Xenopus tropicalis: one gene and its partner. Each later gene encodes a partner of the first gene's protein in a complex. Links are inferred from orthologs where the notes say so. Each region holds a gene or a part of one and is shown on either strand. Other genes may lie near its edges.

Region 1 (4,194 bases):
TAAGCACCCCCCTCCCCCCAGTGTATCAAATCATAAACTTTTTTACCCCCAGAAGAGTCCCCTAGTTCAGTAAAATTGCACTATTCCTGTATCTTACTCACTAAGCGAAGTCATCTTTGTAAAATTTAACAAGGCTTCCATGCAGTCATCTAGACTTGTACATGAGAACTATAGGAAATGTTTTCTTAAAAGGACAAGGAAAAGCTAAGTCACTTGAGGGTGCCAAAATGTTAGGCACCCCCAAGTGACTTTAATCGCTTACCTTGTACCCCGTGCTGGTGCCCCTGTTAGGAGAAAACAGCACCAGTACCTGTAGCGAGCGCTTCCTCCTTCCTGCTTCGTTTTGCCGGGACCCCACGACCGGTGCATGCGCAGTAGAGTGAAAAGCAGACTTTTATGTTAACGTTCAGCTTTTCACTCTATTGCACATGCATGCGCGAAGGAGGAAGCGCTGCAGCTACCCCGGGCTGGAGCTGTTCTCTCCGAACAGGGGCACCAGCCCAGGGTAAAAGGTAGGCGATTTAAGTCACTTGGGGCACCCCCAAGTGACTTTGCCTTTCCTTGTCCTTTAAGTGTCCATGAAAAAACCCAAAGGCCTGAGAAAAAACACAAGAGAGTTGGAAATACTACAGAGATGGAGATGCGCCACTTTAGGAGTTTGATAATTCTACTGCTGGTCCTGTTCAGTAAAAAAAAAAAAAAAAAAAAAAAATGTTCTTAAAAAGAGGTAACAACTTTATACACTGGGATTATTTAATCTTTCCTTGTCCTTTCAATAAGGTGGACTACAAAATATATTAACATGTTGCATAGTTTCTGAACTCTGATTCATAGACTCCCATCAAGATCTTAGATGGTACTCAAGCGAGCATTTAATTATTTAGGTATTGCAATATAAACTGAAGCATACTAGTAAATTAGCTATTATACCAAATTAAAATGACATTAAACTATGTGCACTATTCCCAAAACTGTATGATCTGGAAATCATATCTGCAAGATGTATCTATAGGTAATTTAATAAGAAAAATACGATTGGACCAAATTAATTAATATTGTAAAGTACATTAAAACGTCAACTAAAAAAAACTTACATGCTTACTAAAGCATGTACATGAGACATTACACTGACAGCTATGAATAGTAAAATGTGGTCATTTTACCGACTAGTGATTTAAGGATGATGTCCTTGCAGAAGTCAGGATCTACGTATTTAATACAACGTACATTTGTATCTACTGCGGTGGTTACCAAATTGGGGGATTGGTTACACCAATGGCACAAAAAATTCATATAATCATTGTTCAAGAGGAAACAAGGGCAGCATGAAAGGTAACGTCATCTGACCAAAATAATTGATCTGGCGGATTAAGAGACATACATTCACAGTTCCAACTACATATTTTTTGGTGTGCAGGTCTGGACTTGGATTTAAAAATTGCTGTGGCATTTCAAGTTCTGAGAGGCCCAAACAGCCTTCCACCAGCCCATTAGATAGTGACTGTCTATGGCGGGGGTGCCCAAAAGGTAGATCGCGGTAGATCAATTTTAAGTATTTGGTATACCTCAAGGTGGAATACAGTGGGATGACATCCCGCCACTTCTTTCCCCCCCCCCCCCATCATACTTTTGAGTGCAACTGCTCAAGCTATTCGTCTTTGTTGTTTCATCCCAGTATAGAAGATTGTCCCCACCAGGCCGCTGTATATATTTGTTCCCACTTTATATTTGTTTCTGTGTGCAGCCAACAAAGTGGGCCACGAAGAAAGGAAGTAAAAACTACTACAATCCTTTCAAATTAAACTTGAAGTTGGCACTTGAATAATATTATGTGGGCATTAAATGTGAATTTGTCACTGCATTTATATATTTCTGTGTATATTTGTTAAACACCAATTGATACTTTTTCTTGCCTGTTGCGCCAAATGATAGACGTCGCCCTATTTTAACTGTGGTAGATCTCATGATGGAGGCCAGGTGGCAAGTGTAGATCACAGGGTGACTAAGGGGTATGTTTATCATGTTGTGTAAAAAGTGGAGTAAAGCATTACTGGTGATCTTACCCAGAGCAACCAATCAGCAATTAGAGTTTAACAGTTAGAAAATCAAATCAAAGCATCTGATTGGCTGCTATATACAACATCACCGGTGATGTTTTAATCCACTTTTTGCACAGCATGATAAATATACCCCAAAGTCTGGGTACCCCTACTCTATGGCATCTTGCTGCAGTCCCTCTGGCATTTAACAAAATTCACAGAATGACAGTCTAGGCCTGTTGGTGAGTAAAACAGAAGTATCACCCTGAATAAAGAGTTAATATCAGGAGGAAATAATTTTGGACCCAGGTAATTTGTTTTGCAGAAAATATTAAATTCATTCAGTAATGGCTTTAGCACGGCAGCTCCCATGGATATCAATTTAAATAGTAAATAAATTATTCTGCAAAATAGACATGCAGACTTACATTTTAAGGCCATTAATTCGTTTAAATACTCCTCACACGAATAAACAAAATAAAGAGCATTTTTAGCCATAAGAATAACAAATATCGCATCTATTAGTCGTTTCGGCACATTATCGGCATTTTACAGGCACTTACTGATAGTACCTCACATTATCTGTTTTCTAAAATTCCCTTCCCTTGTAACTTGCTTGATCTCCAGACCCAATTATACCCACGCCGCCAGTAAATTGTTCTTCTCACGCTGCAATCATTTAATTATTGCCAAAAACATCGAGCGTCCCCAACAGCCAAGATCGTATTTGGGTGTATGTGCAGTATCTCTATAAATTAAGTTAAAAGTCTGATCCTTTTGCAAGTTCAAATACCTGAGAAGTGGGTTACACGGCCTGTCGTGTGCGGTGCGTGCGACTGGAGGGCGAAGTGAAGGAGACACTGAGGCTGTCAGCAGCAAGCCCCGCCTAAGCACTCCGCCTTTTAGTCTTCCTAGGTTTTGCCTGCGCCTTTGTACGGTTACGGTCCCTGACATATACATATAGCTTTTAGCTTTTAGTTTTTAAACAAACTTGTTAGCATTAGAAATGTTAAGGATGTATTAGTGGTAATGACGACATGATGAAAACGTGAGCGTTATTTGGAACAGGCACAGTAAGCACCCTCATTTACCGCCCTTGGTATTGTAGAGGGCATGGGATGGACTGACGCATGCGCATAGCTTCTCTGGGTGACCTTAAAGGAGGAACCGGTGGGTGGCGTAAAGTTTGGGTTTTTATTGTTATTTTTTACTACGTACGTCATAAATTCAGCAAGTACAGTTGTAGTGGTAGAATAAACCTCTGATATTTCCAGAAAAAATAATTTCTACTTGTCGTCATTTTTTTATCCAGTTCACCAACTCTGTAACATGAGCATTCCCTCACTATCTGTATATTCAGAGGTGACCAATTCCATTGTGCTGAGGTCTGTATACTTGAGAACGCTTCATTTTCTAATAGTGTGTGTTTCTTCGAGAATGTCTGTAATTGTTTGTCATATTTGTGATTGGTATGTTGTTGTTTGTACGTCATGTAAAATGAGCTATGCAAAAAATGCATCTGTCTTTGTTAAGAACGTTTTAGCAAAAACATATTTATCTGGTCCGGTTTTATATTGGCATTAAAGGTTGAACTCAATGGGCGTGTGTCTTTTTTGTCAGCCTATGTTACTACAGTGAGCTAATACATACATGCACACCTGCTCTGACTAACCCCGCTAACCTGACTAACCTGGGTGAGGGGGTGGTGGTGTCCAGGGGCGATTCTGGACATATCGCCGCCTGAGGCGGCTCCTGGATGCCGCCCCCGCTCCCCAGCGCTTACCTTCTGAGCGCAGGAGCGGGTCCGGGGGCGGTGAGATCGCTAGTGCAGAGAGTGTGTTTAAAAACCTGGAAATTCAGCTCTTAAAGTTACCAGGAGCGGCTTTTTGCCGCCCCTGGTAACTGGGGCGCTTCTGCCGCCTGAGGCGAGTTTCTCAACTCGCTTAATGGCAGAAGCGCCGCTGGTGGTGTCACTGGTCACCTGTTTAAAAGCAAACATCTTATTGGTTGCTATCAGTTACTGCTCCTAGGTGGGACATAGAGACCCCAAAATGAATACAGTGAATATGAATTTTGTTAAAGGAGAAAGAAATGTAAAAACTAAGTAAGCTATATCACATGGTCTATGTAAATACAGCCATAAGCACTCTCTGTC
Region 2 (3,851 bases), on another chromosome or scaffold:
TACTTTTCGTCTCTTAAACTTTTTGTCCTTATTTCACACTGTCATCTCTGCTAGTGGATCACCCACCTTTCCTCACTTCTTTGTTTTTCTCTACATACTCTCCCTTTCTGTTTTTCCCAATCACCATATTTTTCTGCCAAAGACTTTCTCTTACCCATTCCCATAAAGGTGAGTGCAGTAGAGCCGGGCCCCCCTTAAGAGCCAAAACTCACGGGGCCCGGGACGATTGTCCCCCCTGTACCCCACTGATGGCGGCCCTGGGATAGAATGTGGTCATTCCACAGTTCTGTTCCTGCTAAAGAAAGCAATGTGCAAAGATAATGCTAGGAGGGCTCCCTATGCCGGAGGCTTCCAATTATAGAGACTACCTGCAAAGAGAATCAACTTCTGAATTGTCAATATTAAACTGTTGCAGAAGACAGGATTGTTTTGAATCCTCTCTTTTCAGAAAAGGTTAAAAAAAAGTGTAAGTTGCAAAAATAGCAGCCTTTAGTACCCTTTTGACTTTCACAATTAGCTCACACATTCATGACAAGTCTGTGAAAAAAAAACTTTACTACTTAGTTCATCTTACATAACAGCCCATGTACACTTTTAAGTTTCTTTTTTGACAAAAGCCAGTAACATTCTACATAAAAAGAATGGTCAGTTCTCAAACAGTCACAGGCAAAACAAAAGCTGGAAAAACCTCAGTCTAATGGATGTGAAAAATATATTAAGTTCACTTTTTGTAAAACACTATCCATAATTTGTTGTTGTCCAGGCAGGTCCCACTCTTCAATAAGCTTCATTTGTGGAGCTCTTCAGTTCATTGTTTCATATACTGTCCAGTTTCTTCAAGACAAATGGAGCTGTAGATATGGATTAAAGAAAATAAAATCGAAATCAATTTCTCTGCAGGGAATCTCATGTTACCTTAACACCCTTAGTACAAAGAAGATACAGAAGGGTTGACAAAGCAGTATAGCCTTCACTAAATTAGCAGTATTAGTTTTATATGGCTGACATATGCAGCAAAGCATATAACTGCACTATGCATATTATAATACTATAACATTATAGAGCTGATAATTGTAAGTAGAACAAACCCTTGTTTTCATAATTGATATTAAATGTTTTTATTAAAATAATATATACACACAGGTATAGGACCCATAATCCAGAATGCTCGGGACCAAGGGTATTCCGGAAAAGGGGTCTTTCCGTAATTTGGATCTCCATACCTTAAGTCTACTAAAAAATCAATAAAACATTATTTAACCCCAATAGAATTGTTTTGCATCCAATAAGGATTATTTATATCTTAGTTGGGATCAATTACAAGGTAAAGTTTTATTACTACAGAAAAAAAGGAAATCAGTTTTAAAATTCTGAATTATTTGATTAAAATGGAGTCTATGAGAGACGGTCTTTCCGTAATTCGGAGCTTTCTGGATAACGGGTTTCCGGATAAGGGGTCCGATACCTATATATATATATATATATATATATATATATATATATATATATATATATATATATATATAAATAAATCTAAGCTGCAAGGGATGGCGAATAAAAAAATTCCAGTGATAATAAAAATAAGTGATACAGGTCCTTACACTTAATGCTCAAGTTATGGACCTATGTGGGACTAGGGGACTGCACATGCATCCTGATACACAGTTCCACCACATTGACCAGTACCTGCTTTTAACCTCTGACCCAGTACCTGGGGCTTTACCTTATGCCACACCCTGTGTAAGGCATAGGACATGTATCTAGGACATACAGTGTATAGTATAAGGGCCCTATAAAACCACTCTCAGTGCCAATATAAACCATTTGGTTATGATACACAAAAGAGCTCTTTCCTTGGTAAAATGTAAACTGATTTATATATTTTCTGCCAAGCGCTAAAGTAAACGTCAGACGCAAGCAGCATGCTAACATCCCGCCACCCTTACTCACTGATTCTCAGAACTGCTATGTATATAAGAAAATTTCGAACTGAGGTCAGCACGTCTTGCCGCATCTTTTTCCTCAGCTCCTCTGGATCACACTTCGACCCAAGGGTTTCCAGACGGAACATCGTGTGATGGAAAAGCACAAGAGCGATCAGATGCAGGTATAGGAATATTGCAGGACTGGATACAACATGCGCATCCCCGGAAATAGGGGTCGCACTAGCTGGAGGTCACTCGTTGAAATCCCGGAAAATGACAAATCGTATAGGCGCACGAAATACGCGTCATACGGGCACCGCCGAGGGTCAATATTCTTGCGAAGTTTATTTTCGTGATGTAGTTACAAGCATAGCAAAACGAATTGTTTCGTGTGGGGACTGTGGACTGGTCTAAAAACAATAGTGCTGTAGGGCGGACACTCAAAAATGCACGAATATTCATTATTATGCTTATATCTGTCTGACCTTACACACTCATATTTATCTAAAGCTTTGAGACTTAAGGTTTACTACTTAATTACACTTTGCCATTTCCTTAGTGTTGGAATTGCCTATGCATTTTGTGTAAAAAGTAACACAAATCGTATTATATTAGTAGAAGTAGGAAAATATGGACAATTGATCTTATGTGCCACCCAAAAAGTTCTCTGTTCTCCTAAAAGAACTAACGTGAAATGTGATTTGTCCACGTCTGACAGACAAATGCCAATGATATTTTGGTTAAAGTCAGTGCTGATCTTTATAACCATGGCAAAGTGAGAAATGTGGTTGAAGTTGTGTCAAAGTAATATTTTCATACAACTTTATAAATTGACAGTAGGATAGCTGGATTATTTTGTGGTCTGGAAGCTTAAAACAATTCTGACACTTTGTTCTTTATTTGTTGGGCCAACACACTTTCTCTGAGCATTCCTGCCTTCACAGACTCAATTAAACCACTTAAAGTGGTAGCGTCAGGCTACTTAATTGCACTTCAATAAATTTGTAAGAACAGCGCCACTAAGCCGCATTCAATTGTCAGATTTTCAATAAATTCATTGGTGGAGAACATAATCAGTAATAAAAAACAATTCATTTATTAAACATATTAAAAATATAAAAAAAATATTATCAAGGATTTCATATCCAGTAATGAAACAATTCATTCAAAATAAAACCATTTGCCCAGGTGGTGAAATATCCTATGGTGCATATATTAATTCATTCAATTTCTTATACCATTAGTTCCGGATGTCCATCAAACAATGTTTACTCTGTCAATTAGATGTACACATAGATCTCACCCATTATTATCCGGTATCTTATTCATGTTTGAGTTCTCAGCAAAATTGGTTGTAAAAGTAATTACACCATAAATAACAATAAGGGGCTCATGCGCATTATCAAATGAGTAGGTGGCTTTTCGTTTCAGTTCAACGTGCGATCACCAAGTCAAGTTCAATCGGAACTTCACTTATAATCCATACACTGTTGCTTGTATTATGCACCCAACCTGGAAACATGCAACATCTTCTCCTTCGCCTGTAGAACCACTGCTGCGATCTTGGCAATCTCTCTCTATAAAAGCTGAAGACAAGAGGGTTGACTAAACCTTCTGGCTCAAACCAGCCCCCAGGTCAAGAATGGCAACAGTGCACGGGAGTGCCAGCCTTTGAAAAATATGACCAGAGGTAAATAGATAGGACCACCATACGGGGTTTACCTTGATGTGGTATGGTGGCTTACCAATCTTATGATCATAATTTTGTAACTAAAAACCCCTGTTTTTGTAAATATATGCACTAGCATAGATAATTTACTTATGAAACAGGGGACCAGGAAATGTGCATTGATCAATCCCCCCTCTCTTTTTTGTATGCTTGTAGTAATTTGGCCAGATCAGTCACACTTCCATTGTAATTGTATA

Evidence for each region. Proteins that work in one complex are often made in the same cells at the same time.
Region 2: the proteins of vdac2 (region 1) and tomm5 are in contact, whole or in part, in a cryo-EM structure (PDB 9EII), measured with the Homo sapiens proteins. The link is inferred for Xenopus tropicalis from reciprocal best matches to the Homo sapiens genes VDAC2 and TOMM5. Residues at the interface, in NP_001171752.1 of Homo sapiens: Val38, Thr60, Gly63, Asp239, Tyr258, Gln260, Thr261, Leu262, Leu268, Leu270, Val286, Leu288; in NP_001001790.1 of Homo sapiens: Ile25, Arg29, Leu32, Ile33, Ala36, Arg39, Val40, Phe43, Ile44, Lys47.

Annotation. Positions count from the first base shown.
Region 1 is NC_030683.2:54,956,535-54,960,728, forward strand, and holds the start of vdac2 (voltage-dependent anion-selective channel protein 2), read right to left. Parts: upstream 2,850-4,194; 5' UTR 2,833-2,849; intron 1-2,832. UniProt on the Homo sapiens protein: Non-selective voltage-gated ion channel that mediates the transport of anions and cations through the mitochondrion outer membrane and plasma membrane.
Region 2 is NC_030677.2:108,996,877-109,000,727, reverse strand, and holds tomm5 (mitochondrial import receptor subunit TOM5 homolog), read right to left. Parts: upstream 2,591-3,851; 5' UTR 2,072-2,590; coding exon 1,951-2,071; intron 852-1,950; coding exon 817-851; 3' UTR 537-816; downstream 1-536.